Styela clava: one gene and its partners. The protein of the gene in region 1 interacts with the protein of each later gene in a pairwise test. Links are inferred from orthologs where the notes say so. Each region holds a gene or a part of one and is shown in the gene's direction. Other genes may lie near its edges.

Region 1 (11,133 bases):
TGTGACGGCCCTGATTAATTTAGATTATTATTGAGACAAGCATGGTGCGATATGTAGCATCTGACGTGGTCCCAGACACCCCTCGTTTGTGAGACACATAGAGTGTTTGTTTTATTGAGTCAAATGGAGGGAAATTCTTGGAATTTGGATAGTGTGCTGTACTGAAGTATGCGGGTGGTCGTCGATAACCCAAAATGTATTTCTCTCATTTTCTCGTCACAACGACCTCGATGAGAGAGATCGCCGGCATTATCGGCGGCGCAGATGCCATTTCGGGCGATCATAATTATACTTTGGCAATCCATATGACGTGATGGTGACGTAAATTTTGAATGGCATAGTCAGGTGGGAGTTAGGAATAACATATGCAAAATTCGTTATGCTACGCCCACTGAAAGTACTTGTGGTACTAAACTATACTCAGTATACTAGACCCCATAATTTTTGGATAACGTAGTCCAGTGGGGGTTACGATTGTTATGTTGAATCTTACTAAATAGGAAATCTTTCTTGACACAAAGAATATTTCTGCATTTGCTAATAAAGCTTCACGCTTACATTAACAGATGTCAGGAATTCTGGAAAAATATGCAAACTCACCTGGTTTTTGAGTCGCCTCCGCCATATTTCAGCCGCTGAAAATAAGAACTAAATACAAGAATATTTATTCTACCAATCCGTTGTATCGGTACGATATTTCATGAACGACGACAAGTCTGTATCTGATCTATAAGCATAAACGGAAGGGGTGACGCGTAGAGCAGTTGGTGCAAATTTGATCAATGACTCTTGCGGTGTTGCGCAATTACTATTGCAGAAAGTAAACAGAGTATAGTTGCCAGATTCGTTCAACTTATTACTTCATAATTCGATACTAAAAAATATATAAAGAGAGAAAGAGTTTATTGGACACGTCAGTGGACATAACGACCGTTTTAATGTTGTTCTTGTTCCTTTTTTTCCTTTTTTCATCATTAAAAAATCGCTTTTCTCTTCCAATACTGACCCAATTGCTTCAAGATTTCCAGTGGTTGAAGATTGATTTTTTCGCCAGAAGGCCATTACTTTTACTTCTTTCAAAAATTTCTGTGAACTTTAGGAGATTCGTTTTTTATGTGTCGGAATAAAAAATAGCGGCACCTTGTAACGTGTCCCTATATTTGAGCATAGCTCCCTTGTTATTTTTGTCAACCAAAATACAAATAAATTTCAAATTAATAAACTACACAGCATTTATTTCGGTATGGACTGGGAGATGGTGATACGACCAAAGGTCAGGATAGGATTAGAGAGAGAGAGAGAAATTTATTTTATTTATTCCGGGAAAAAAGAAGGGGACGAGACTGCTCGATCAGAGAGAGAAAGATTTATTGATTCGTCAACCAAAACAAATATAAATATGAAAGCATAAATACAAATAAATAAACACTGTTCATGGTAAAGACTGGAGGGAGCGATACGACCATACGGTCATCCAAGTCAGCTCCCCCCATATTCACTGTTATACATAAGATTCACAGGTATTGGATTGAGTATATTGGATTAGATATAATAGAGTAATATACAATTAAATAATTGTAAAAAGCAAAATTACAAGGGGCTAATGATTGAAGTTAGTTATCACGCTCAGGCGCGCAGCCAGGATTTTCAAAGGGGGGGGGGGGTACATAATCATAAATTCCCATTGCAGCCTGTAACAGTCTTTGCATTACGCTCTCGTTAAAGGGACGTCTTTTCAGCGTATAATGATTATTCTTGTCGCGTGAAATATTCAATCTCTGACAACTACAAAATTCTAAAATGTCTTTATATATTAGTTTAATTGTGTCCAACGTAACTCGCGGTTGCTTCTTCTCACGTCAAAGTTAAAACATTAGTTCTCTGAAATGCCACGGCGATCGGTGGACATAAAAATATGAGATAAACGGTGTATTTAATTTTAATACGTATTTTTGGAATCTTGCCAACTCGTTATCGCCGTTAGAAAAATCTCAATAACTGATATAAAATCCCGAAAAGTACAATTTTATTTCGTACAATGAAAATGCATATGAAGTATATCGTTAAATCAAAAATACATATTCATCGCCGCGATTACGCCACTTGTTAAAAGAGCCGACGTTTACAACGAGAAATGATTTTTCTGTTGTGCAAAGTAATCAATTCGTGACCGATAAGGGCATATTTAAAATGTCTTGCTTTATTAATTTAATTTTCTTCAATTTAACCAGCGTTTGCGTCGACAAAACATATCAATTTTTTACATGTCACAATTTTAAAAAAACCTCGGCCATATGCCGACATAAAAATAAAAATTTGTGGTAACTGCCCGTGTCATATATTGTTTTGATCCGTATTTTTTCTATTTTGCAAATTCGACAAATTTGAGATGTGCTTGTAACATTGACTCCGTTCAATCGCAATGCTGACACTCCGATTATTTTTAAAGATAAAACCTCCTGAAAAATCCGTAAATCTGCTGTAAATTCTCATGGAGTAAAATTTATTTCAGTACAATAAAAATTGATGGATATACTTCGGATTAATTATCTTGTATATCATCACAAACCGGGAAAAAATCGCGTTTTCAACCTTGTTTAATGATAACACGAAAATTTTCTACGACAATTTTGGAGTGCTGGATAAAGGGCAAATCCCACCCACAATTAACCGTGTTTCGAATTTAGTGACGGTATGTTCCTAAACGGCGACCAAACATAATGTGCGCCGTAGGCACACGAAATTTTGCGATTTTGCGACTAGAAAATCGTTTTTAGACTGTCGCGGGACTCAACAAAACTTAAACTATTTACGGTTTTATTTTCAGTATTTCATAATGCCGCTTTTCAATCAAATTTAGATCGCGGTTTTACTCCTTCTTTTGTCTTTAGAACCTCGCCACCGATGAATGTGTAATAACTCACGAATTCACAATTCCGTGAAAAGTACAAAAATAAAATAATTATCATGTCTATCGTGGCACAAATTTATGATTTAGAAAGAATAAAAACCGATGTAAGGGCGTTTACGGCCTAAATAACACGCTGATGAAAACATAAGCGATTTTAGCAGAAGGCAATTGCACGCTTTTTCAGTTTTCACATTTCCGTGCGGGTACAAAAATAAAACAAGAGAGCTACGCCCAAATATATGGACACGTCTGTCCGCAGTACAGTACGGTTTACCGTACCGTCAGATCACAGTCTACAAATATATTCACACCAAGCGAAGCAGTACAGTAAGACACGAAATGGCGTCCGATGCCCGCAGAACGTTTAATGACGTCATAGCAAACAAAAACAAATCTCACAGAGCTAACAGAAATATTTAAAATGAATAAAAGTAATAGCCTTCTGGGGAAAAATTTTATCTTCAACCACTGAACATTTCAAAGCAATTGGTCCAGTATTCGAAGAGAAAGCGTTTATTTAATATTTCCACTAGGTGTGTTATTCTGTGTCAAATAACAAGAACAAAAACAAGAACAACATAATATTGAAACGATCGTTATGTCCACTACGTGTCCAATAATTATCATTGTTCCCGCGGCACAAATTTGTGATTTAAAGAGAATAAACACCAATGTAAAGGGCGTTCACGGCATAAATAACATGCCGCGTTGATGAAAACGAACGTCGATTTTAGCAGAAGGCAATTGCACGTGTTATCGGCAACTTTTTCACGTTTCAGAAAATTCAAAAGGGGGGGATCAAATGGCAAACACGATGGGTCCTCCAGTCCATGCCGGGTAAAGGATTATTCAGTCAGGTATTTGATTTTAAAAGTGTGGATAGTGATTCGAATTACGGTATTTCTATTTTCTTCGATCATTAATTGTTTGATTCATTTTTTTTTGTTTTTTTTGTATCAGTATATGAAACAATCAGAAGTTGTAGATTAAAAAATATAACGTAGTGCTCCCACTGAGCTTTGTTTAGAGCTAAATGTGTGAAATTAAAAAGTGTTTATGCGAAAAGATCGTCTCATTTGGAAGACCTGGCAATCAATATTCCCACTATGTGCTATGATCATTGATAAAGTTATTGAACCCGGGAGATGGCACCCAAGAGTCACACTTCAAAATCACAGACAGCTCGTACCAAATAACTTTCGAGTTGGATGATTCGTACCGCTCAAAGACAGACGAATTGTCCATAGATTTTATTGCTCCACAATGACCGTCAGGTCGGTTCTCTTGCGAAATGAATGAGAAATTTTGCTGATTGTGGTTTTAGTTTATTTGCTTGTAGGCTAGTTGTTGCTGAATTAACAGATTTTCATATTTGCAAATTAATGATTCTTTTGCGTGTCACGCGGACAAAATAATAACGGGGCCATACACTAAAATTGTTTCGATATTACCGTACCGGTACCGGTACGTTAGGATAGGATTAGGATAGGATTCACAAATCTCGTTCTGACGTTATTGTCAGTTTGTCGAACATGGGAATGGTTTTCTTGTTTTAGAAAACTCGATGTACCGGAATAGGTTTAGTAGCACTAATAAAGTAGACTAGTAGTATTTATTTTTTTCGTCATATAAATTGTGAGATACGGTAGGCTATAAAATTTGGATCATGAAAAATTCGGGTTCTTTTTACTTTGTAACTTCTGTATGGTTGTGTGAGAGTGTGTGAAATATTTCCATTATTTTGGGTGAGTGAACACGTACCACTTCTTCTTGGCACGACCTTCCATCTTGTATTGTGTACGTTTTAAACCTTGTCCAAGGTTTTGTTTGCTCTCCTGTTTTCATAATCAGTTTTTATTTTATCAGTTTCTACTTCAATTCTGCAATTGGTTGTTTTTGTCAAATTGCTTCCAAAGTGATGCCCGATCGCGTTTTTAAATCTGTGTTTGTTTCATTTATCTTCTGGTGGGCCGGCAAGTACATTGTACGCTTTTTAACCTTTTTTAAGTTATGCCTGTCTCCCAGGTATCACTGCATTTTGTTTTGTCCGTTTACTTTTTGTATTGTTTATGTCAGAGAACCAAAATGAATGATTGATTGATTTATTTTTTATACAAATCATTTAAGTGTTATGCTGATTACTGGATTATGGAGTCGAAATAAACTTATACTTATAGTATAGTTTAGTGGACTACCACAAGTACTTCTAGTGGAGCAGGCATAAAGAATTTTGCATATGTTATTCCTAACCCCTGACTACCTGACTATGCCATTTAAAAAGTACTTCGCTACAACATCACCATGTCATAGAGCCTGTCAAAATATATTTACGATCGCCCAGTTCACGATCGCCCATCACTGATACAGTGATAACTGGATAAGGAACTCGCTAACGTTGGGAATCTCTTTCATATCGTGATCGTTGCGACAAAAAAATGAGAGAAATAGCTTGCTCGATTTCGAGTGATCGCCTGTGCGTTTTGGACGACCTCAGCATACTTTGGGGGGGGGGGCTTTTTACGCCACTGTGATGTCAAAATGACGTAATTTTTCGGTAACGTAGTCAGGTGGGGGTTGGGATTGAAATATGCAAAAATTGTTTAGCCAGGCCAACTAGAAGTGCATGTGGTACTAAACTATACCAGACCCAAAAATTCTATCGTTAGATCATATTTCAATATTTGAAAATAAAACACCTTACAGACTTATATCTGTATATTGCTCTACATTTAGAGCAGATGTAAATAATCCCAATACTGTAATGGGTCAATAAGTGGAAAAAATATAGAAAATTCCAGAGTGAACAAACGATTCATGATAGCCTAGTTTTGCAAAATTCACGAGAAGCCTTATTTTAAATAGGAAGTTTGTGATAGATCTAAGTGTTATTGCATTTGCTAATTTGTTTGTTCATTGTTTTATGTCGATGTAATTATTGAAATAACCTAATTGTTGTAGATAATTATTACTTCTGGACCAAGCTTGAAAAATACTGAAATATGAAACTCACTCAACTGGATTATGAATTTAAAATGGAAAAAAAAAATGAATAAATATATATATTTATATATTAATAAATTATATATTTGCTATATTCCAGTGGGTTGAGGTAGTGAAAGATGACTTTAAAACTTATCTAGCTGTGACTCACTAGTTGTGTGTAACCAATAACCATACTGTTTATATTCATAGTTTTTCATATCGAGTCGTGGGTCGGATGTAAAAGGATCACTCAGAAGAGTATTTGCTCACCACTGTCTGACTGTTCTATTGTAACATGTAAACATGGGTTTGTGAAATCTGGCAATATCTTTCCTCACAAGTTAACTTTATTCCGTTCATATATTCTGCAACAGAAATATATTTATCACATTTTAAGTACTTAGATCTGACTATGAATAACAAGTAATAAATCAATTGCTGAGTGATCTTTCATAATGAACAATATGGTAGAGGAGAGATTCGAGACCCACTATGAACAGCACGAGACCATCGGAAAGTGAGTAATTTTTTATTTTTATGACTCGTAGGAGGCGCAGTTCTTACCACTTCATGGCAACCGAATGAACCGATGGCAGCTCCTGCCCTGTTGATGGCGCTATTACCGGTATATTCACAAAGCCAGATTTTATTTTATCATGCAGAATTATATCTACTTAACCTAAAACCTAACCCCAAATCCATTAAAACTGTATCTATAAGGAACTGTTCCAGCTTACCCAATATTTATCACCATCCGGGACAGCCCTGCCATTACAGCTGACATGCTGTGGTTATGGCAGCAAAATTTCACCCGCCTTTAGTTTTCAATTTGCTGCTGTTGTATCGGCAGCCAACCATTGGTTCGTGGCAGTCAAAAAGACAGTCGCCATGGGTTTGGCCATAGTGTCCATGGTCCGGAAATCTCACCTGAGCTTCAGACGCCACAAAATACTTGAAATTGCACTTGACTCATAGCGGTGCTTTTAGCTTCGAACATGGCCTTCTACAAACGGCCACTGAAATCTGATGTTATGTGAGAAGCTTTTATTGTATTTGAAAATGCCTGAATCTTGTTGGAGTGGAGCAATATCATGATATATATTAAGCATGATCTACCCAAAATTTCAGTGGCTTCGGATGCTGATCAGTGACCATATAATTATTTTTTTACAGTTATAAATTGTTCAAATATTGTTCATTTCATTTTTACTTAACTTTCAATTCATTTGTTCTCATTTATAATAACATCTATAATTTGTTTATCCCCTGAAATATTTTCGAATTTGGGATTCATACACGAGCCTCAGTCTCCAGAAAACCAATGATATCATGCTGAGCATTCCAGGAAAATACCAGTTACCAGATTGACAATAAAAACATTTTCAACAAAATACATTTTCCTGTTACAGAGGTCCATTCAGTTTTGTCAGACGTTGCACTCATCGAAGATCAAAACTCCAGTACGCTGTTAAAATCGTTGACGTGGCAAAGTTCACTGGAAGTCCTGGACTTACTGCCCACGGTGAGTTATTTTTTTTACAATCCAAACGGCCCTCAAACTTTCATGATCATGGCCCAACACTCATAACACCTTTTGGTACTCCAGAAGTATGTGAACCAAGATGGCGGACACCGGAATCTAGTATGTGTACCAGGTTAGGGTTAGTCCATAATTTCAGGTGCAAATACTACGGGAGTCACGGTGACCGCCATCTTGGTGCACATACTTCTGAAGCGTCCGTTTTTTGTATTCTATATTTCTGACTCTAAGATAGTTGATGCAATGCAAGGAAAGAAGTGGATTTTCTGGGTAGTTTTTTTTTTTCCAGGGTTCTGCTTATTATTAACTTTTGGTCATGATAGGGTTACTTCGATTCAAACCCCGTTGGGGGTGAGACGTAGCTGATTAGAATACTTGATCGCTCATCTATCTCTCACCAACACTCAGATGCTAATTTCCACACATTCGATTGAACCTGGTTGACTGATTCGAAAGCAATAAATGATTTTATTGAGAGATGATATACAAGGTGGTCGCTAGAAAAGTAGAAATAGGTCAGATGAGATAACGAATAAATAGGCAGCGTTTCCCAAAAGGAGCGAACCCCTGACATCTCTATCACAATCATGCTTTAGATTGAGATTAGTCAAATGGCAAAAATTGTGAGCACAAAAAAAATCTTGCATTTTAGAATACATACCTATACTACCTTTCATTGGAAGGGAATTATGGCCAATCCGGGACAGCTGTCCCATGACAATTACAGTGGTGATATTATATTTCACATAATGCATTCCCTGTGGGCATTGCAATTTCTGAAAGTTTTCTTCAGGGGTATTCAACCTCTTTTGATGGAGCGAATGAAACATTTCAGAGTTTTTTTTTATGTCAAATTGCAACAGTGTTCAGTAAAATTCTTTGACCATCTGTCAATAATGCATTTTACAAATCATTGTTCGGAATCACAAAGAGTTTTTCATGCAAACTTGGGTCCACTTTCAATACCAATGCACTGTGTCAAAATGACCATTTTCGAAAATTGACTATCCCAAATTATTTTTAAAAAATTTAAAATTTGAAATTCTGTTATAATCAACTCGATTTCTAATTATTCCTGCCGATAGCAAATTGAACACGCATAACTTCTGATCAATATATTGCTTTATCTTGGAGTCTAGATTTTAGGAGTCTAATATATAACTAAAGTAGTAACTAGTCGACAACAACTAACGGATTAGTTCACAGATGAAATTCAATACATATAGCAGATAATTTTACGTTACAATTCCAAAATTTTGAGTTTCTCTCTTATTCACGTCACGCGTCGAGAATGCGATACGCTTTACGTGAGTAACGACATCTCTCAAATAGCTGTAAAAACAACCTTTTCAGCGACATCTTTGCGTCGTTCTTGGCATTTTCTGGATAATGAGATAAGTGACCTAGAGATCCTAGGTTACAATTACAATTTAATTCTTATTCCTGCATGTTCCACAGATTTGAAGAGAGAAGCGACAATATGTCACATGCTGAAACATCCTAACGTTGTTGAACTCTATGAAGTTTACAGCGAGGAAGGATTGCTGTACATGGTCTTCGAATAGTGAGTATTACTTTACTTGAAACAAAATAAAAGTTTTATTAAAGCAGGGATGGGCAAACTACAACTCGCAGGCCCCATGCGTTCGTCAGAGAATTTTGGGACTTCCCGAAGTATGTGCACCAAGATGTCGCACCACCTGAACATAGTATGCGTACCAGGTTAGGGTTCAGGTTGTGCACCATCTTGGTGCACATACTTCGTGAGCGCCAAATTTTGTACCCTGTTTGTTTAGAAAGTTACTTGCCACCACATACAAAATTTGATTTATTTCAAATTTTATTATAAATAACCAAACCAATGGTTCTCAAACTTTTTAAGTCGCGCCCCCTTTTCTAAAATTAGTCAAGTCTCACCCCCACCTTAAAAATAACCAGCTCACACTAGGCTACAAATAACAGATGTTAATGCGGAAGTATGTTTATTAAAAAAAACTTTTGAAAATACATGGATGGAAGTATTATTTTATTTGCAATTAACTTCACCCCCCCCCTCAATAATTATTTACCTCCATACAGGGACACATACTTCTGGGTCGCCCATTTTATTCGATCATTTTAAAAAAATTCTGCTGCTAATCATTGGATCTCAACATTTGACTCGTAGCTTTTAGGAGGATATGCTAGAGTTCTGTTCTGTGAAATGACGCTAAAGAGCCCTTTTCCAATGACATTTGACCTATGCAACTGCTGAAAAATTAAAAAAAAAAATTGCATATTCAATGACTTTCGTGTATGGTACAGCGTTAACTAAATTTTTATTCAAAAATTTCATGAAATTATTTTTTTAGCATGGACGGCGCTGATCTTTGCTTCGAAATCGTGAAACGAGCGAACATGGGATTCGTCTACAGCGAAGCCGTTACAAGGTTAGAGATTTATTTGTTGTGGCACTTTCATTAAAACAAGGCTTATATGCAAAGAGCCACATTTATTGTGGGGATTAGTCACTACCCAATTCAGTATTCCCTGCCAAAATTATCTGGAGGGGGTGCATTGGATTCAAACTCAAGATATTACGATAACTGGAGTCAGAACCGCTTTGTGATAATGGGCTAATTCAGCACCATGTCTAAATTTGGTGTATGACATTGTCATTGCCAAGGAGCCACTTATATGCAATCAATGAGCTATTTTTATTGTACACGACAGCAATATTGACCGAATCAGGATTTAGGATTGTTGTGAGGACCCAGCCGTAATATGCTCGTTTTACCGCCCGATCTTCATTAAGGGCCCGTTTGAATAGCCGCCCGTGTGAACAGAACATAAAAATAAATAAGGGCCGGTGCTTGAATACCCGCCCGATGTAAAAGCTGATTTTTCAGTGGTAGAAAACAATAGGAAATAAGAAGCGCTTTTGTCACAACGCTGTTGAATTTTACTCGCAGGTAGATAACACTCACGCCTTAGGCGTCCAAGTACATAGCAGATAGCATTGATTACTTAACATCATGGTTCTCAAACTGGGCGTTGCATCGCCCAAGTGCGTCGTTTCAATATTGATAGGGCGTCGCAAAACTTTTCTTCTTTTGCGGATTTGTACCTGCGGTGGGTAGAAAAAGTCAAAATTTTCGTTATTCTTGTTTAAATCATACTTGAGAACTGGAAATAACAATATATTAATTATTGTACGATCGAAAATAACAAGCGCCCGTGCTTGAATAAGGGCCGGTTTGAATAAGGGCCTGGTTAGTAAGTTGGTTGAAAAAAATAGGGGCCCAGGCTACAAAACGAGCATATACGGTATATCACACCATGGGTCGGGCGGGGGCATGGGATTTGAACCAGGATATTTAATATTAATTGTCGGAACACATTTTTTTTTGTGGGTCAATCCTGCATTTCGACTGTTTCCACTCAGAATCAGGATCAGTTACTGACCTGCGATTTACAGTTATTATCCAACCCAGTATTGTCCACTCATTTTTTTTTTACTGCAAAGTGAGGAGCGTGATGTTTAAATCCGAGATCTTGTCAACATAAAAACTTTATCTCCTCTTTAAAGCAGAGCTGGGGAGCTGGTTCAAAATCATGATGGCTCCGGCTCCAGCTCCGGAGTCGCAGTGTATTCAATCTTTAGCTCCAACTCTGGGTCCGGAGCTTCATTTTTTTATGCCGGAGCTGGCTCCAGCTCCGG
Region 2 (11,501 bases), on another chromosome or scaffold:
TATTTTTCAGAATTGCAAATATTGTTATTGTCCCAGCTCAATAAATTAAATTACTTACTTTAAATTGTCTTGCTTTCGATTAGCGTATTAATTTATTCGAAATTTTAATCAGGTCAAGTCTCATATAATATGTTCAACCCTTCTTGTCGTTTATCCATGCAAAACTATCCCTGTCCTATTTTGATATGTCTATACTTTAAAAAGCAGACCCACTTGAATGTCATAGGAAGTTATTACAGAGCGTATCACGACTCGTTTGAAAGTCATCGATCATACTAAAGAAGTATGAAATAAAATCACTTTGCTGTTAAAATACACAACATTCACTGGCATTTTCGAGAATTCCATATCATAATCAAAAGATTGCTTGAATAAAGACCAGGAATAAACGTGGACCGAGGTTCACCCCCTGCCCGTGCCTAATACTATATTTTAATATGGGCATTGCACAATTGAAATATTGACATAATTTAATGTGTTTACTACGCATTGTTATTAATCACAACACATTTTTTTTTATCTTATTTACATATTTTTATACGGAACTTCCAAAATGTGAGTTTCAGACGTTTATTTTAAATCAAGGTATTTTTGAAATTTTTGATGACAAATTGATGTTTGGTCTTAAAGTTCCAAAATGTCATTCGACTTTGTTCCAAAATAGAAATATTTTCTGGCACAACAGAGACCGTAGAAAAGATTTTAGTAGGCAATGCATATATCACAGAGTGTTGAAAAGCACAAATAAAATTGGTATATTATTGATAAAAAGCACTATGTTACAAAAGATGGCCATCGTGGTTTTATTACGATTGAATATGATCGCAGAAAGACATTAACTGACAGTACTACGATTTCGAAGTGAAAAGTCGCTAATGTAATATGCGCTTTTCCTCATTAAACTGGGTATAGCGATGGAAGCGTGCATGATCAGGCCGCTTTGAAGACAGTTTAAAAATAAAAACGAAACAACAAAATACTCTGGGATGAAAAAAAAATGACTCTTCAGACAATCACCACACTCACTTTCACACGCTGCTCGATAACCCCAAGTTTTCTCGTCAGTTACAAACTAGATGGCATACGATAATGTATTATACGTAACTCGTTATATATAAATTATAAATGCTACTGCAAAATGTGTTTGATGGTGGAATAAGTTCATTTCATTTCGGAAATTCATCAGGAAGGCAGTTATATAATTATGCTAGATTAAACTTAATAAACATGGTTTGAATTTTAGTCGACGTTAAAAGTTTGCGAATTTTTACACAAATCGAGTATAAATACAAAAGACACGTTAGCGGATTCGACGGCAGAGTTAATTTTCATTGTTGGGCAACAGATGACATGATCTGACACGCCAGGACACTCACGTTACCATCAATATTCAATGACTGCTTCCAGACCCTCGTCTATCGAGCTATCCAGCACTTAAAATTCTTGGATCCATTTTCCATGTATCGGTCTCAAACATCTTCAGAACTTTATCATATAATGTTAGGCTTGACACTGTTGTGTTCAAAACACATACTCTGTTATACTCATTGGACGGAATAAATATCAAAAACCCCAAGAGAGCAAAGGCTTAAATATAGGTGTCCAATAATTAGTGTCCAATAACCTTGAATTTCAATATACAGTGCGTGTATCGTTCATGTAACCCGAACCCTTCACCTTAGAACCCTGCAAAGCGGTTGTTTCAGATGCCCTCATAAATAAATGAAATCAAAACACGGGTAATCTATTCTATGCGTTAGTATTTTTAACCTATTGCAGAACAGAAGAAAACGGGCTTGTACAAAAAGTAGCCCAAGTCACGAAACAATAACAATCATTGAATTTTATATAGATATATTTAATCAATATGATTAACGAAATATCAATTTATTTCTTTTGGAAATTACTTCTTATTTTCCTCCGTTCCAACTACGCCAGTCAATGGTCCCAATCCGTTCGGCATTAAAAGCATACAAAATTTTTCAATTTGTCGAAATGTACCCCTGTTTCTCAAACTTTTCGCACATAAATTACGGCAGAAAAATGAATTTTCATCGATATTTTATACCACAAAATTCAATGTGAATTCATGCGAGCAAAATCAATAAATGAAAAAGTTGCGACAGTCGGTTTCCACAATTTTCGTATAAGATAGATGATATCTTTCAAACCTCTGAAATATTGTCTCAAAAAAATAAAAACGTGTCGACCCATTCGGGAATCTGCATAAATAAGCATAATTCCCCCACAAAGAAAAGTAGTGACATAAACTGGTAGGATAATTTTCAAAGCCTTGTGTCCGTGGTCTGAAAGGTGCCGTTGTTTAGTAGGATAAAAAGGTATCGTGTCGGATTAGCTCATCGATCGGAATTATTATACATTAATTTAACTTCGTCGGTTCTTAATCTGCAGTTACTTGATCAACTTTGTTGGCTTGCAGCTGAGGAACACCGAATAGCAGAAAAGACACATTACCCCACTTGGCTTTGCTTCCACTCTATTCCGATGCATAACAACAGATAAAGTCCTTGAATGTCAGATGGATGCTTGTCCTTTGGAATGAAAGTGGAGAACGCCTCATACATAAATTAGTTTAATATGGCGAAAATGCGTAAACATTTTATGCTTTCACTTCTACGAAAATAACAAATAAAATTATTATTGATTCTAGCCTATCCATATACATATGAACACAGAACGAGAATAATTCTCCAAATGACTGATGGTGGAAAATGTGTTTTTGAAAGTAAAGGGCTGCGTTGTTTCTAAAATACTAACGTAGAAGCGTATTCCGCGAGATGGTGCTAGAAGAAAATGTCTCGTTTGCTCAAAGCTTGTCTACCAGACTATTCAAAGCGAGTACAGTATTCAAATATGCACTTATTTACCTATTCGTCTCCAATAGTTTATAAAATGTTTAATCTCAAATAGTGAAATCTACTTTCTTTAGGCCAGGTAGAGCACCAATCGCTGTAACCTACATGAAATACTGAGAACCAGAAAAATTTTCTATACTGGAATTTATATGACCAACACTTGACTAAAATATCACAGCAAGCAAGATATTCAAGTGCAATTTTTTATTTCAATAAAATTTCCTTTTTTATTTGTATTAGACCGTGGAATAGAATATATCTGAAATGATGATTATAAAGCAAAACTTTCTGCCGTTTGAAATACTTTCGCAAGTCGAATAAAAGTAAATTGAAGTCATCTTTGTCCTCGGAGGGCCTGACTGAGTGGATAGCTGTAGGTTGTTAAATATTTGATTGTATTTGCATTACTGTTGTTGAAATAAAATTATGTTATGGAAAGTTGAGTTTTGTAGAAAGTTCATCCGCGTAGCGTTAACTAATCCACAAGATGCAATCGTGACGCAGCAGTAAGCGTTTTCGCGGCCACTCGGACCCTTTACACTTGGAAGGATTTTAGACATGGCTGTAATCATTGGCTCCCTTTCGTGTATTTTTCACATTGTTTCAGTAGTTTAATAGTCCCGAAATATCTGCCGATCAACTGGCGATCATCTCAACCCGTTTCTGCACCTTGCATCCTCCACGATTACGACCCGCTTTGACATACTTATTCGAAATCAAAGCCAAATTTAATGGCTGTTAGTCAAGGGGTGGGCAAAATCGAATATTTTTCGAATTGAATATTTTGAACGAATAACGAATGGTCGAATGATAAATATTTTTATACACAACAGGGATCCAGTACGTCGGAAGTCGATACTTTCTTTGGAAATTAATAGAAACATTGAAAAGTCGGCAATAAAGTGTTATTTTAAAAGTTAATTTCATCATAATCTCTGATTGCCTCCGTCATCGCGATATCCTAAAGTTGGTAATCTATATTTCCGCCTTTTCTCGTTTTTTGCAAGTATAAGGGGTAGCCGGATATCGAAGTTTTAAATTTCTCGTATACCCGTGCGTTCACATCAGCGACAGCTGTTGAAGACTTGAGGACTGATTTCGAAACCAAATTAATTTTGTTCTGAGTTTTATCCTCTGCCTTGGCTTTGATCTTACTTATCACCGCTTGTAAATTAACAGTGCCTGTTTGAAGTGAACGATAACCGAGATGCAGATATTTATTAAAACGATACTTGAGTTTCTCGTGCTTTTCTATGGTGTTCGTGTTATTTTAGCATAAGATAGATAAACCTTGCAAATCTGCGATTGCGTGAATTCTGAATGTTAATTTGAAATAGCTATTAAGTTTTAAGGTTTTTTTTCAACGAAATAACACCCCGACGGTTATTATAGCTAAAATACGTACTGAGTAATGCTCAATTTTAGTTACGGAATTTGCAAATTCCGCCGAAAAAACGCCGAAAAGTCATTCTAACATTTGATTTTAATCAATTTTATGTTCCGGTCATGCAAGAAATGGCTTATGACACGGAGTTTAAAATCTGGGAAATTTATTTCATATACCCGGCTTGACGCTTCTAAATTTACGGAACGGTCGGTACGTTTTTTTGCAAAATATAGAATCAAAGAAAAGCATATAACACCATAACGCAAAGACAACGACTTTTCAAACTTGTCGCTTTTTATATAATACGTACGTGCGCACGTATATTTATATATAAAACGATAAAACCGGTAACAGAACATCAAGATTTTGTAATAGAAAATGGACTTCGCACAGAATAAACACTCTGGCTCGTACTTGATAGTAGTTAAATCGAGAATATTGAACTGTTAAAAACAAAAAAACGATCGTCAAAATTCTTAAATCTCGTTGCCTTGGTTAAATAAAATCCAATGATCAGGACATTTCCAATTAAATACTGTACAAAGATAGTTATACAATTAGGCTGCAATTTAGCTTCTTTTAAATTTTAATCATGCATTGTAGTGGGGAATTCCCACTATTTAAATAAATAACTATGAAAATAAAATAGGATTCTGGATTCGATTTGATTTATTTGATAGAAAAACGCACACAGTTAATTAGAATACTACAATCGTTAAATAAGACAATCGTTTTTACACATATCACAAAGTAACTGGACAAGTTTCGCGATAATTCTGATCCTTCGAAATGCGCTAACTCCTTCCGTGTTTTATCCTCTAGAGGGCGGTATTGCCCATCAATGATCCATACGAACATTAGCGTGCCATACCAATGTCAGATAGTTTACCACAATATATTTTATTTATATCATGGATATACAATACCAAGAAATGATTTACTATCGCGAGGTGGTTAGAACAGGTGCATATTTGATAGAACCGAGGTGTCAACCGATGATCACCTAGGCTGCAAAAGCGCACGTTCCATTGAACCACCGCAACTACGACCTCGCTCCAACACGAAAAAGAGGCCAATACCAGTATTCAGTGATCCTCGTCAAATTGAGGGAAGCAGTGTTTATGCCTTTATGGCACCAACAAGACTTCACAAAAAGCCTGGAATGGCGTCACGCATTTTTGATTGTGTCTTCGTTCTTTATTTATATGCATTTAATTGAGTTAAATATCTTAAATTATAGTCTTCAACGGAGTAAACATTAAAACTTTAACAACGCAGCAATCATAAAAGTTTAAGCAGTCATCATTAAGCATGTTCGCCGTTTCACTTGTACACCGCGTGGAATACATTGCCAATTTTTTTTATAATTTTTTATGAATTATTTGAATTGATAAATCAAAAATCAGTGAAATTAAACGCCAAATGTTAACCAAATCAACGCCAGTAGTAACTCATATCAAACGATGTATATTTTCATTTTCATTTCATTAAATTGTACAGAATAATTAAAGTGCACTTATTTTATTTCAAATACGCGTTTTGTGGGTTTTATCGATTCCAAAATATAAATTATTACATAACATCGACAAAAATCATTAAACTAAAAAATTAACGAGAACATTTTGAACATCATGCCATTTCTGTAAAAACCTATTACTTTGTCAGTTGGTTGTCAACAACATTAAATAACAGAGCTCTCAACACGTTTCGCTAATGTACCGTGGCTCGGTAAAGCTAATTAGACTGCTTATATATTCCTTGTTACTCTCAAATATTTTTCGGGTTGCCACAAATCGAACCACATGGCTGTCGCGAGTCGTTTGCATATTCCACATTCGTGTAGTCGCGTGCGTAACGGATGCATCGATCAGATTCCCGAGAGCCCTTTTGTCGGAGGAGTGAGCTATCAGTGACATTTCGCCAGTCGCGTGAAAGGTGTAAAATTGGTCTTCGCCCCTTTTTTTAAATGTAAAGTCAAATCGACAGCCGGTCGATGTGGAATAATAATTTCTTATGATCGATTAAGCCGTATTGCTACAATAAAGAGTAAACTCCATGTAGATAGAAGGTGGGGAAAAGGTATTTGAATGTCGGCGCTCCGGGATGTTAGAAGGCAGCATAAACTGCAAATATACATGCTCAGTTAGTAAGGATAAGATAAGGTAAAATACACATTAGCGGGATGGTACACAGCTTTGTAATTGGATTAGTATAGATAATTTGGCGTTACCATTAATTTATTAAATGCGTATTAATACAGAAAACACTTCTTGTATAATCAGTTATTTTATACACTATGGTACGTGCAATCTTATTGATGATGAATAAATATTTCAATACTAAAATTAGATATCATGAAAAGACAGGTGGGAGGAAATTAATAGGCTACTTTGGTATGCTCTATCAACTATCGTGTGATTTTAGTTAGGGTTAAGAAATGAATTCTATGAGAATGTCTGACACAAGTGCTGTCCCTTTGGTATTTGATTGATATCACGTTTAGCATACCAAAGTGGCTCCAAAAATAGTTGTTTTCCGAAAAAGATGAAGCAATCTAATCAAATTGGATAATTTTTCACAGCAATGTATATTACTTGCAAAATCGCCTGAAATTGTATGAATTGTTGTTGTGACAACAACGCGGAATGAAAGTGAATCAGAAGTGGAAAAGACATCAAAATTTCAAACAGGATTTGAGTGGAATATTTTTCCAAGTATTGATGACGATAACCACAAAACATAATTGCGATCAAAGCACGGATTATTCGGATAGTATATATACATTCCCTAACAATAGAACAAATAAATGAAACATATTTCAACGGTGATATTAAATAGATTAAATATCACAATTTCTTTTGGATCGTTTCTGAGTGTTGATCGACGCATGAAATGCCTGCCGGATCGAAGCGAGGCCTTGTTGCCCCGCAAAACACATTCTTGGAAAATGTTATAAGAAAAACTAATCAGTACGAAACAAGTGAGTGTACTTCTTCATATACTTGATTTAGATCGCTAGAACTGGAATTGTTTGAATACATAAAATCGCAGAATGTTTGTATATACATATCAAATATTCACGGACTGTCCCCTTGCAGTTGTCCCCGCAAATTTGTGTAGTTGTTGCGATTTTCATTTATTCGATGTCATGAATATTTTGGATCACTTTGATTTTGATTTACGGCTTTGTTGAAGCAGCTTGATCCTTAAAAGTACAACGGACATTTTTCAGCGCTCCAGAAGTATGTGTATCAATACGGAGGACTCTAACTTTGTTCTCCTACTTTACATCAATTTATGTAAAGAAACTGAAGCCTATGAGCAGGGGTATATTCACTTGGCCAACACTAACAGTCGCCAAACACATACTACGGGAGTGCCCATTTTTCAGACTGAACTTGACTTTTAAATTAGCATATTGATTCGGTTTGTCTTGACTTGCTTCATTTGACTTGTATGTAACTATTAAAATTCTTGGACATTTATTGCATTTGCATCACGATATTTTTCACCCTTTCCAAACTCCACCCAAATTCCCAAATGCACGTCTTCGGTTTCAACTTGCCAATATTAAATTCAAGTTACAATTTTATCATTAACTGTAACAAGTTTTTTTGTCAAGCATTTGCAGTGAATTTTTATGAATGACGTTTACATGTTTCTTTTTTTTAAATTATTCATAAATTGTGGCGTAGCTACATACCATCAGTTTGCTAGATAAAAGAAATGTAAGTAATCGAGATGTAAGTATCAATACGAAACAGGAACTAGCCAATATTGAAAGCTTTTAGTGTAACATACATTATTCAGTGATATGTATTGACAACAACCAGTACCAATGGGACGCTTAATAAAAATGTACTTTTAAATATATATATAGTCCGATTCCCCGTATATAATTGATTTTCAAAATGCATTTCTGCCTTGTGTGGTATTTAAATTGACGAAACTAATAAAATCATGTATCGTTGAAGTGCGGTATACGGAAAAATCTCATTTTGAAGACATGATTGGCGTGACGAAGTGAGCGATAGGCCACTAATTCCATGCTCTTGAATTATTAGGAAACATTATAAAGTTACTTTTCTTGTTTGCGTGTTCACATGATTTTTATTTATTCTATTTTATAGATAGCAGTTTCTTACTGGCCAATGCGCAATTATGGGGTTGGCCAATTGTTTATGCAAACGAAGGTTTTTGCAAAAGTACTGGTTACAACCGGTCCGAAATTATGACTGCTTCATGCATCTGCGAATTTATGCACAGGTAAACTAATTTTTGTACCAATAAATTGATTGTTGAATTCTAGGATTCTTCCTGTTTCAAATCGGTTTTTAGCAAGGATAAGACCTTATATATATATACAGCACTGATCACTTCGTTTTTGTGTGAACTTTATTTTGCTTGTATTTCACCAGTACACTGGCGTTGACAACTTGCTTTTATACGAAACGACTTTTGTCTCAAACTGAATCATCGTGTCGCTACAATTTACCATATTTGTAGTCTCATGTTTTGAAAGGCTTGGTATTTAGAGTAAATTCAAAAACACCAAAAATGAATTATGGTTATAATTTTTTATTTTTTATGTAACAGAGATCTAACGGACAAGGATGTTTTGCAAAAAATGAAAGATACTCTGGATAACAATGAAACTGGAAAATTTGAATTGCTACTTTACGACAAATCAGGTACGTATTGAACAGTATAATAACCATGACTTTGTGATACCTCATTAAAACATAAACTGGCATAGACAACTGAATTTCTCGAAAATCGTTATTTAACGTGATCAATCAATACCATCGCTTTACTGCTAACTTTTCCTGTGATGACTAAGTAATTCTGTGTAATCGTGGCCATGGGTACAGTTAGCAATGCCATTACTTGGTTGTTAATTAATGTAATTCATCAAATGAATACATGATTTTTTACGACACATCATCTGTCTGCTGTTTAATTTGTTTTTATCGTGGCAATATCAACTTGAGCGTCGATAAACTTGGAAAATCTTTTGTGGCGGCATTGTAATATAAATTATCAAACTTGAATGGGAATTCGTAATTTTTTTTTTTATATATGGGGTGAATTTGATTAAAAGATAAACTACTTCTACGCGGATAAGCTATTTTTATACTTACCAATTCTGATGACTAAAATACCAATCGAAACAAAACTGACAGCAACGCTCTATTTTTTGACAAACTGGTTTATGCCATGACGACAAAAAATGGCTGTAGCGAATTGGTGAAATAACGTGGTTTAGTGTGGGCAATATTACTACAATAGAATAGTTTGAAGTGTTTTTTTTATCACATTTGAGTGACATATTTCCTAAAGTTCAGCACGAAATGCTACTTTGCGAAGTGCTTTGTATTTCTTATAATTATAATAAAAATAAATTAATAAAAATTTATCCGAGAAAGAAACGCATAAAACCATCTCATAGACTCAATGTCCCCAACCACAGTAAGCTTGACGAACTAGTGGTACATATACGGCAAGTCATTTTCAAGTTTATTTTAATGCGATGAAGACCTCATTTAGAGTCAGTCGTTAACAAAAATACCTATGCTGTATGTGGAATCATTATTAGTACAGTACAGTGGTCTATATTCATGTAGAAACTATGATAACCCGTTGTAAAACGTATAACGAGTAACGCCTTCACTGACCATATGTCAAGGTAATCCGATTGTCTGGCATAAAGTATTTAACGATTTCCTCGACAAGGAGAAGTGAATGATCAAATGGTTTAACTTGGATCACAGGTTATTATCCGCATTATGCGGCGCCAATTCTCGTTCAACCACTATTGTAATAGCAAATGATCATGTACAATTCCTTCTAATCCATCCGAATGCATTGATTTCTACTTCGTGAAGTCGAAAAGTATTTTCTATTATATAAAGGCTATAAATTACGAGCCAGCTGCAACAAAAAATTTCCAAATGAGAATTGTAAAGTTAACTTAAGTCTTAACTGAAGAATAAAAATATCGTATATTTTTGATAGAGTTATTAACTGTCATCTCATACCCGATATCGTACATTATCTACGAAATTACTATTACCGAACTGTTTGAAACTATAGCGATGAAATACAATGCTGAAGATATTATAGAACTTAAATTTGCTGTAAACATTTTTCCAGGTACGCCGATGTGGTTCCTCTTACAAGTTGCACCGATCAAGAACGACGCAGACACAACAGTAATGTATCTGTTGATATTCAAAGATATAACTCTCATCAAGAGACCAATAACACAAGATAAAAAAGGTTTATAGATTTTATTCTGCCAACATAATGAACAAATCTCAATTGTATTCAATTTGAATCCAATGTTCCATATTATTTGATTTTTTTAATTTACTAATTATAAAAATTTCAAACTGTTTTATTATGTGTACAATTCCCTACGGCTGTTCGATTTACGTATACCTGATGATTTCAGAGTCGAATCGAATTTCGAATACTTGAAAAATATTTGTCAGCCCGCCGGGTTGATTCATTTCGACCTTTGGCGAACAAAAAAAAACAAGATGGCGGCAGTTTGAAATTTTCGTCTGAACTAATTCGAATAATTTACTATTCGATTCCGACTGAGCAATTACATTCATAAACAACCTAAACTCGTAGATACTGACTGAATTGTGAAATACTTCAAAGTCGGAGTTTTTGTTGGTATCAATTGATCACTGGATTTTCTCATATTTAACTTAATTTTGCAACAGAGGGTCTTTCAAAATTTAACAATTTTGTAAGTCGGATGAAAAGAAATCAAGAAATTGAAATAGAAGAAGGAAAAGAAATCTCAGCGAAAGATATTCAGGAACGAAATCAAAAAATTTCAGAGGTTCGTTAATGACCGCAAATTTGTTTTTCATTTTTATACTCGAAAGTTCGTTCGACAATGATAATGTTGCACAAAGTAAAATCTAAAAATGTAGTATCTGAATATTGACATCCTAGAATACTTTTTTAAAATAAATCCAAATCTAACTTCAACATGCCCTTCATAAATCGAATGTAGATGAAAGCAGAAAATATAGTTGGACGAAATTTGTTATTCGATATTGTATTCACAATGATTAGCAATAATTCCGAATAATATCCAAACTATCCAGAAGCACAGACATATGATATATTGCCACAAATCCTAAGGAATTGATCATAATGTATCTTACATGAAATCTGAGTATGGAACAGTTGAAACCATTGCTCGTAATCAAGGCTTA
Region 3 (9,107 bases), on another chromosome or scaffold:
CTAATCATTTACTTATAAATAAGACGTTTTCTTCTCTCACACGTTTTAGAATATTCATTTCGTGTATGACAGATTTCTTGCTTCGACTAGGTCTTATTTTAAGCGGAGGGCTTATATTAAAGTCATTTCTTAAAATTCAGGCTAAGTCTTATTTTCGGGGAAACACGGTAGTAACCCGGGACAGTTCAGAAGTTTTACAATATATATTCGATTCGTGAGTTGGCTCTTGTTTACGCAAGCGACTAAAGGGCCTATAGCCAGCCATACGTCACTTTCATTTTCTAAGTTTGAAGAATTAATCATTTTATGTTCATTTTACGCGTGAAATTAGAGTCAAAGAGGGAGTGTCCAAATTATCCTGGGACAGAGTATTGAGTCCGGACGCGCAGGTTTTAGGAATCAATGGAATAGCCTTATAAAAATATAAGATAATATATATACTATGCTAAATAGGATATCTGAATTATTCATCGAGGGAAAAATGGACTCGATAAAACGGCTAATTTAGTAATTATGGTGACTTTTGTCAATCAGTTTATTGAAGTTGCGTATGCAAATAGAACAGGATTTACATATTTATCCCGGGGGAGAGGAAGCGAATAAGACTGCTAATCATGTGGCGAACCATGGCCAACCATTACCAGTCCAACACAATGTGTCAAATGACCAAATATGACACAATATTTGTTTATAATTAGGCCACCATGACCAATTCTTTATAATTGCCGGTTACAAAATTCATTGACCATGAACTGTTGCCAATATTTCACAAGTTGGTCGCCTAATTAAGCTTGGGAAACGCTCTTTGTATTGAGAAGACAGTAAATTGGTGTCAAAACATAAATAGCGTGAATCAGAAGCTTTATGGGCACTCCCGTAGCGTGAGTACCAGGTTAGTGTTTGGGCATAATTTTATCTCGATTTTTCCTCATTTTAGTTCTATTACTGTTCGGAACTGTCTGTGTTAGCCAAGTGAATATACCCCCTGCCCATAGGTCCAGTTCCTTTACACAACGTGATGTAAAGTAGGCGAACAAAATTAATTCTCCATATTGGTACGCACGCACTTCTGCATGTAGCACCGAATTTTCTACAGATATACACGCAGTTATTAATTTCTAACCTGGAATTTGACTTCTTGATAATAAATCCGTTATTAACGCCTCAGCTGCGTTCAATTTCTCCGTCATCTCTTTCAGTGATGTTTCCTGCTTTTGTTTCAAATTGGTCAACTCTTTCCGCATTTCTGTAATTGAAAATATTCACGTAATATTCTTGTACAGGAATTTCTAATATTATTGAATTTAAGATTGGATTTAATCGCATTTTGTTAAAATCGCCGATTGTTTTCTTCACGGGCTATTTGGGCCGTGAACACCTTCGCGTCGATATTCATTTTTCCAATATCACAAATTTCCATCAACATATGCATGTCTTATTTTGGTTCTTACACGGAATGGTGAATTTGTTGTGAAAAACCAGTCATTATATTATAATCATCGGCGACGAGATGCTAAAGCTAATAAAGTAGTAAATGATTGAAAAGCGGCATTGTAAACTACTAAAACAACTAAAACACAATAAGTTCTGTTTTAGGAGACCCGCTCCAAATAAAAATGCGGCATTTGAAGTAGCAATGTTTTGTATTTTTAGTCCACGCAACAGCCTGTTACATTGAACACATTAATTAAGCAAGATATTTCAAATTCCCGTATCGGTCGTGGATTGAATACTTTGCGTAATTGCGAATTGTACTTTTTGGGATTGTTTCACACACCTTGAGTTTTTCTTTTAGCGGCGACATCTTGAAAATAATCTTTAGTTGCAGTCAGAATAGCTCAAATCCCAAGGTAGTAAAATTCGAATCCAATCTATTCATAATCGGACATCTTATCGCGTGTTTTATTCTACAGATTGTCGAAGTATTTTATAGTTGGACTTTTATTTTACTGTAAATCGACGCAAAGGCGAGTTACGTTGAACACAATCAAATTAACATAGCAAGACATTTTAAATGTTCGCATCGGCCACGGATTAAATATTTTATGCAACGGCAAAATCGTTATCCGCTCGACCCGATTGATTTTTTTTTACCGAAAATGAAAATATAAACTTTACTTGACAGGTATACTTATGCACTCACCTTGTTTAAATTTGGCCATTTCTGCCTCTAAGTCTTTACTCTGTCCAAGCTTCGATTTACAAGTTATAGGAAATTCATTTCTGTTCATATATCCTTCGATGTCAACTTCATTCAACCCTTTAGGAGTCGGATCGCACTGAGTAATCAAACAGCCTGGTTTAGCAGAACAATGAATGACGGTTTCATCGTCCTGACATATCACAGAAATGAAGAGAATGGAGAAACAAATAATAAATCTCAGAAAAAATTTCTTCATTTCATCCGATATTATATGAAGCCTCTTTTATTGAATCTGTATTGTGGTTCCAAGAAATAAAACATTACAATTTTTTGATATTTTAAAACATTTTCTCGCAACACCAAGCATCATGCACGTACAAACGCATCAGTACTCCTATCAGTGAGACCTATGAATATACGCTTACAGATTGCATTAAGACGATCACTATTTAATAACCTTTGGTAACACAATCTGAAATAGTGGATCTCGTACTTTCATGATCGGTGGCTCGCATTCTAAAGACACCCAACACTCTGGTCTTCCTTTGAAATTAAACACTGTATACTGTCTTCGGCGCTCCCGTAGAATGTGCAACAAGATGGCGGATACCTGAACATAGTATGTGTACCAGGTTAGGGTTAGGCCATAATTTTATTCCAATTTTCTTTAATTTTGTTCTATTACGAGTTCGGAAACTATCCAAGTGACCACACCCTCGTAGTATTTGTAGCTGAAATTACGGCCTAATCCTAACCTGATACACATACTACGTTCCGGTGTCCGCCATCGTGGTTCACATACTACGAGAGTACCTTGTCTTCTTCTATCATATACGATCATGGTATATATTATTCTTATCACCATTCTCCGCCCTCCTTTCCCATTTGTTTGAGAGTACCAATAGGTTAGCTTTTGTGATAGGCTGCCGAATTAGACGGGTATTCGACAAAAGACCGTGTCGCATTACAATGATTACAATTAGTAATCATTCACAGGTAACCATGGTGGACTTTCGACTATTTTGGCCGCACTAATACAGAGTGGTACCTTAAAATTTGCCTTATGGGAAATGATATATGTTATTTCCTTGGTTGAATACAAACTGTAATTCCTGTACGAAGATATGGAAAATTGGTAGTTTTTATTTACTCATATCCTATAGTATAGGTACTTATTTTTAATATAAGTCTTTCATTATTTTAGAATATAGTCGATATAGCCAATTAATGCTCTATAATGCTCGTCTATTTTATACAGTCAACTTTACCTCTGGACATTGTGCACCATAGTAAATATGACAGACCTAATCCTCATGTCTTTGCCGAAATCACTGTACGTTACTCTATTTCTACAAACGAAATAAACCTGAATTTTGCTGAATTGCTGTTCTTGTTGGGGTATTGTTGTCGTGAAATGTCGCTTTTCTTCGTAAGTACTGGGCCAACCGACTTAAGATTTTAAATTTCACGACCTAGAGTTGACTTTCACTCGGCAATCAACATATCTCAATCTCAGTACGAAGCTACATCTTGCAATAGCCTGAAGGATATATTTGAAAGTTTCCTGTATCCGATTACATTAAACTTCGTGGTTAGATTAAAGTTATTTATAAAGGTTGAAGCCGGCTGTTCATAATGTAGAAAGGAATGGCCAAATCATAAAAAAAACATTTGCGTCTGAAAAATCAAATTCTTATACTGTAAAGGCAATTAATCACGTGAAAAATGTATTTGCGACATTCCTCAATCGATTTTATTCGTAATCATACTAATGTATCATCCATAATTTCCCTTATTAGCCAACTATTTACTTCCGTGTTTAGCAAATTATTTTTCGTTTGTAACTTCGTTTTGGTTATTTAGCAATCTTATGCTTTGTATTGGGTAATCCACTCTCCAGTTGTGAATGCTTTTAAATCTTCTTTATACATATTAAATGTTGTAACTGGTAAACATTTATTTTATGATGTTTTAATTCACGTAAATTGAAATTATTAGAACTCTTGTAAACATATGCCCAAAATTCAACTTGAGTAGTTCCAAAACTCCTTCAACTTTACTCGATAACCAAAATCAATAAATATATTTTTTAAAAGGTAATGTTATAATTAGAGCTGGGAATGGTTAACCGGTTAACCGATTTCAGATGGTTAACGGTTATGATTTATTTTAACCGTTAACTGACATCTCGGGTACAAATCATCTTTATACCGTACAATTTCGTTAAATATGATTACGTCATCTCAAATTTATCTCTTGCGGCGTTTAATTTAAAAAAATATTACTAACTGTGTGGGTAAGGACTCAATGAATGTAAAAAATAATGGAAGTACCAAGATTGCTGATAATGAAAATTTACAATGATAAATTCAGAATCAGTTTTTGGTCGATTTCGAAATATATTGTTCACGATTTCATTGCAAAATCGGATATTCAATGTCATACAACAAGTGCGCACTTGATCACGCTTTTCTTTATGAAATATATCTCGAAATAGAATTTGCACATCAAACACTGAAAATTTGTCACATAAATGACGTTTAACAACGGAATCGGGTTTTCTTAAATATTTCCACATGCCCGAACCACGCTGCCTATCTATTGCAGCAGAGGAATCATGAAACTATCTCAATTCGTAAATAATTTTGAGCGATACCGGGATAAAAACACGCGAAATTGCGTTATAACCAATGTGACGTAACAAGCTGAAATTATAATTATTACGTCAAACGTCACGCGGCGGTTAACCGGTTAATTTTAATCGGTTAACTTTAAAGTGTTTTCCCTGAAATTCCCAGCCCTAGTTATAATAGTAAATTCTATGATAATTCATCAAATGAGTAAGGAGCGATTGTCGCAGGAGCGATTGTGGTTGGGGTTGACTTTAATGGGCGAAGGTTCCTATCGCCGCTCCCTACAGTTTATATAGGGATATATATATATATAAAGTGTTGGTTAGGCTACTTTATTCTAGTTGAAATGATGACTGTATTTTGATTGGCTAATAAATCCCTTTTTCTCTCTCTTTTTCACACTCGTTTTCGTGAAGATTCGCCGTCGATAATTTTTTTGCTGAGGAGCATTGAGTTATCCGATTCAGTTATCATTTTCTGTCGTCGGGATTAGCTCACATTTTTGTTCGTCCGACCGGACGATTCAAATAAAACATATTCATTCAGAAAATTTAGGAATAATAGTTTTGAAATTTTACGGTATAAATAGAAATACCACCCTCTTTTTGTCTCTTCAGAAGTCTCGCTTATTTCTGTATATTGTGTAACGGTAATTTCATGAATAGATCAAAATACCAGCAACTCGTATAATGAGGATCGCGAGATGGCAGTGATGAGTTGGAGTACAACAAAACATGACTGTTGCCACAAAATTAGCGTTTATCCATGGGTATATTTTTTAAAATTAGTAAGTTTTTAGGCATTTCGATAAATTTTACTTTCAACATATCTAATAATTATGCAAATTGTGTATTTATTATGTGTCAATTAAAAATGAAATATTTAAGAAATCATTTGTATTGTGTTAGCTAACTTGTTAAATAATCCCCCTTCTTATATTACGATATCTTTGGAACTGTTATGTGTAATCCATCAAATATTTGTTGTAATTAATTAAGGTAAAAATCTATAGCGGCCTTTTTTTTCCTCATGATATCTGAATGTCTTGTCTTAATAGAAATTTTTCTTTTTTTTATGGGTCGGTCGACGTAGTTGACCTTGCAGTCTTGCGGCCCCCTCCCGAATATATTCTATGATTTATTTATTTTTACAGTTATTGAAATTTTACATTTTTTTGATACATTGGGAAAATAAATCATTTTCTCTCTCTCATTTCTGTTTTAGTGAAAATCTATCATCACTAAAAAATCGTCAGCAAGAGAACTCGATGACATCTGACTGGTGACGCAACGACTTGTTTCTCGTCTGGTACGGCAGTCGCTTCCTGACTTTCAGGAGAGGTGTTTATCGTTCGTCTAATTCCGCGACGTTGTTTGTAATTCTTTATTTATTATTATCTAGTTTTAAAATAACTCTATTAAAATGTCAGAACCTTTGACACTCGAGCAAGACATTACAAGGGCGATTGAATTGATCGATAATTTACAAAGTCGAGGGCAGGTTCCATCGGATAAAATCCTAGCGTTGAAAGCCGTTTTGCAAAGTGACTTTTTACACGCTGTTCGTGAAGTCTATGAGCATGTTTATGAAACTGTGGACATTACCGGGAATCCTGAAATAGCTGCAAATGCCACTGCTAAGGCCACAGTTGCTGCTTTTGCAGCCAGCGAAGGACATGCCCACCCGAGAGTTGTAGAATTACCTAAAACAGAGGAAGGACTTGGATTTAATGTCATGGGAGGTAAAGAACAGAACTCTCCAATTTATATTTCTCGTATTATACCCAATGGGGTAGCAGATCGCCATGGTGGCTTAAAACGTGGCGATCAACTTTTATCAGTCAATGGAGAGTCCGTTGAAGACGAATGCCATGAGAAAGCGGTTGACCTTCTCAAAGCTGCCATCGGAAATGTTAAATTAGTTGTTCGATATACTCCTCATGTTCTAGAAGAGATGGAGCAACGATTCGAGCGACTTCGTCTATCCAGAAGGCAACAGCATACCTCAAACTCTGGCTAATTCCATTCAGTTAGTTGTCCAACATATTTTAAGCTGCTAATGTTTTTATTGATGTTTTCTTGATTTTGTTGACTTGATTTTCTATTTGATTATTTGTTATGATATTGTTGATGAGGGTATGGTCTATTTAGCTGTATTTTACAACTCAAAATGCAGAAATTGAAAGATTATGGTTATTCCAAATAGTGTTGCTTCTCGCATATAGAATATTCGAAAACTTGTGTATTCAAAATAAATTTTTCTATTTATTGATATATGCTCAATTTTGCTCAGAAACTTATAAAATATATCAAAATATTGAAATCCAAAATATTACATTGAATTTGAATTTTTCTTCAAACTTTGTTAGACTGAATATGTTTGAAAATTTTTGATTTGATTTGATATAATCTACATTGGTACGATTTGGACTGCTTGGACCACATCAATATGGTATGATTGAAAGAAATTGTGATGAATTTCTAATGCTCTGAAGCTAGTTATTATTTTCTTGAATAGCGTTTAGTTAGATCGTACCAAAGAATTCATACCCACTGAAATTCAGAATTTGCTGAGTAAAACTATTGATCAACTAATAGGGGTAAAGTCAACTTTTAATAAATGCACCAATGCCTTTGTTACTTAAGTATAAGTACCTACCGGTAAGTAACAACTGCATTGGTTCATTTAGTATCAATTGTCAATGGGGGAAACAGTTTTAAATAATCCTATTCATATTGAGAAATCATACTTCATTGATTACCAAGGAAGGAAGGTATGGTTTACCCATTTAGACACTTTATTTATGCTTTTTTTATTCTCTGCACATTGCGAGAAATTTACAAAAATATAAAGGTGTGTAGTGAGAAGATCTGACCATAAATCAAATTCCTTTATGAAACGATCTATGTCACAAAGTGCTGCTTTTATATTATTTTATGCATTTATGTTGCCTGTTGGACAAATCATTCCAAATTACAAGGGATCAATAACATCAGACAAGCTACTAATCATGTTTAATTCATAGTGTTAACCTTTTTGTTTAATATTTCATTTTTTACCTGTATGGAAATCCATTAATAATGGCAGAATATTCTAACCTTGAGCATACAATATTGATGCCGCTAGTCAAAATTCTTGCTCCTCTGGTCAGAGTGACTTCAATTTGTTTGTATATCAGAGCAATCTGTAGTACTGACTTCATATTTACTAACCTCAAACACTTCTTGTGAAATTTTGACGCTCAAGAAAAATATTTCAAACAACTGTGCGACCCAATCAAGTTTATACTATTTTCATTTGTCTAATTCTTCTACCAAGTAAATTTCGAACAAACATTTTATCGTGGCATTCTTGATAATGTCCTTGGCCTTTCTTACAAGAGTTGTAGCTATTTTCTTGTGGCAATTACATCCACAGTTACAAGTGCAAACTTGGCCAATTATGTCCTTTTTAGCTCTTAGTTTTCTATAAAAAATTTACTAGGTGCTTTCTTGACTTCATTTCTATATCGTAGGTGCGATTACTCAATTATACCAATTTTACATTTTAAAATATTTAGAAATATTTTTTTTTCCTGTTTTTTTTTGTCTATCAACTAATGTTTTTGAGCCTGCTGTTTAGGTATGAAATTCAAAATTTCTAAATTTCATGATTTCGTCCCAGCGGAAAAATGCTACTCAGATTCACATAATGATGCCTAGAAGTTCGTTCTTTCATATGTTCAAATACACATACAAGTGCTGTGCCATGCCAAGGCTAGTTTTTTAATAAGGACAATATTCAACAAAATACTAACTTGAAAGTTTTTTTTGCAATTTCATAGAATAATTATTGATGAATGTCTAAAATCAAAGTTTCAATAATTTCAATTAATATTGTTTCATGTTTTTGTTTTAGATAAAAAAAAATAATCTTATCTTTGTTGGAAGATAATTTAATGCTGGGTGATTATCGTTGTGAAATGCAGATCGACCTCTCGTCAATTCAGCGTCATGAAAAAGAAAAGAAAAAGGAAAAGTTCGGGTCTAACAGCGCACCCCAGCCTCGGCAGTGCTCCTGACGTCCCTAATAAAGAGAACTATACCACAGCGTCGTTCGCTGATGAGCTATTCGGAGCCGATAAGCTTGACCCTGATAATTTTAGTTTAAAATCATTTGAGATTAAAGTAACCGAGAATATGACTGTTAAATGGGATACTGTTATCTTCAACCGTCAAATGTTTGTCTTAGTTCCGACCACTCTGTCACAAAGTGGCAGTAGAGATAGCTTCGTTGCACTGCTTGAAATCGCAGAAGAAGAATTGGATTGCGAAGCTGTTATATGTTGTGTT

Evidence for each region.
Region 2: the proteins of peripheral plasma membrane protein CASK-like (region 1) and voltage-gated delayed rectifier potassium channel KCNH1-like interact in binary tests that used the Drosophila melanogaster proteins (3 or more experiments, as listed by UniProt). The link is inferred for Styela clava from reciprocal best matches to the Drosophila melanogaster genes CASK and eag.
Region 3: the proteins of peripheral plasma membrane protein CASK-like (region 1) and protein lin-7 homolog C-like interact in a two-hybrid assay, tested with the Drosophila melanogaster proteins (2 studies listed by BioGRID). The link is inferred for Styela clava from reciprocal best matches to the Drosophila melanogaster genes CASK and veli.

What each region holds. Positions count from the first base shown.
Region 1 is NC_135256.1:838,881-850,013, forward strand, and holds the start of peripheral plasma membrane protein CASK-like, read left to right. Parts: upstream 1-6,271; 5' UTR 6,272-6,348; coding exon 6,349-6,410; intron 6,411-7,302; coding exon 7,303-7,415; intron 7,416-8,891; coding exon 8,892-8,997; intron 8,998-9,784; coding exon 9,785-9,862; intron 9,863-11,133. Other genes in the region: uncharacterized protein C1orf50 homolog, read right to left, coding at 601-625.
Region 2 is NC_135250.1:11,629,882-11,641,382, forward strand, and holds the start of voltage-gated delayed rectifier potassium channel KCNH1-like, read left to right. Parts: upstream 1-6,854; 5' UTR 6,855-7,155; coding exon 7,156-7,243; intron 7,244-8,393; coding exon 8,394-8,529; intron 8,530-8,859; coding exon 8,860-8,954; intron 8,955-10,416; coding exon 10,417-10,542; intron 10,543-10,997; coding exon 10,998-11,119; intron 11,120-11,501. UniProt on the Drosophila melanogaster protein: Structural component of a potassium channel. Mediates the potassium permeability of membranes; potassium current is regulated by CaMKII and CASK. Has a role in growth of the perineurial glial layer of the larval peripheral nerve.
Region 3 is NC_135263.1:5,071,002-5,080,108, forward strand, and holds protein lin-7 homolog C-like, read left to right. Parts: upstream 1-6,074; 5' UTR 6,075-6,198; coding exon 6,199-6,795; 3' UTR 6,796-6,990; downstream 6,991-9,107. Other genes in the region: uncharacterized protein LOC120340926, read right to left, coding at 1,124-1,246, 2,144-2,399; ornithine decarboxylase antizyme-like, read left to right, coding at 8,769-9,107.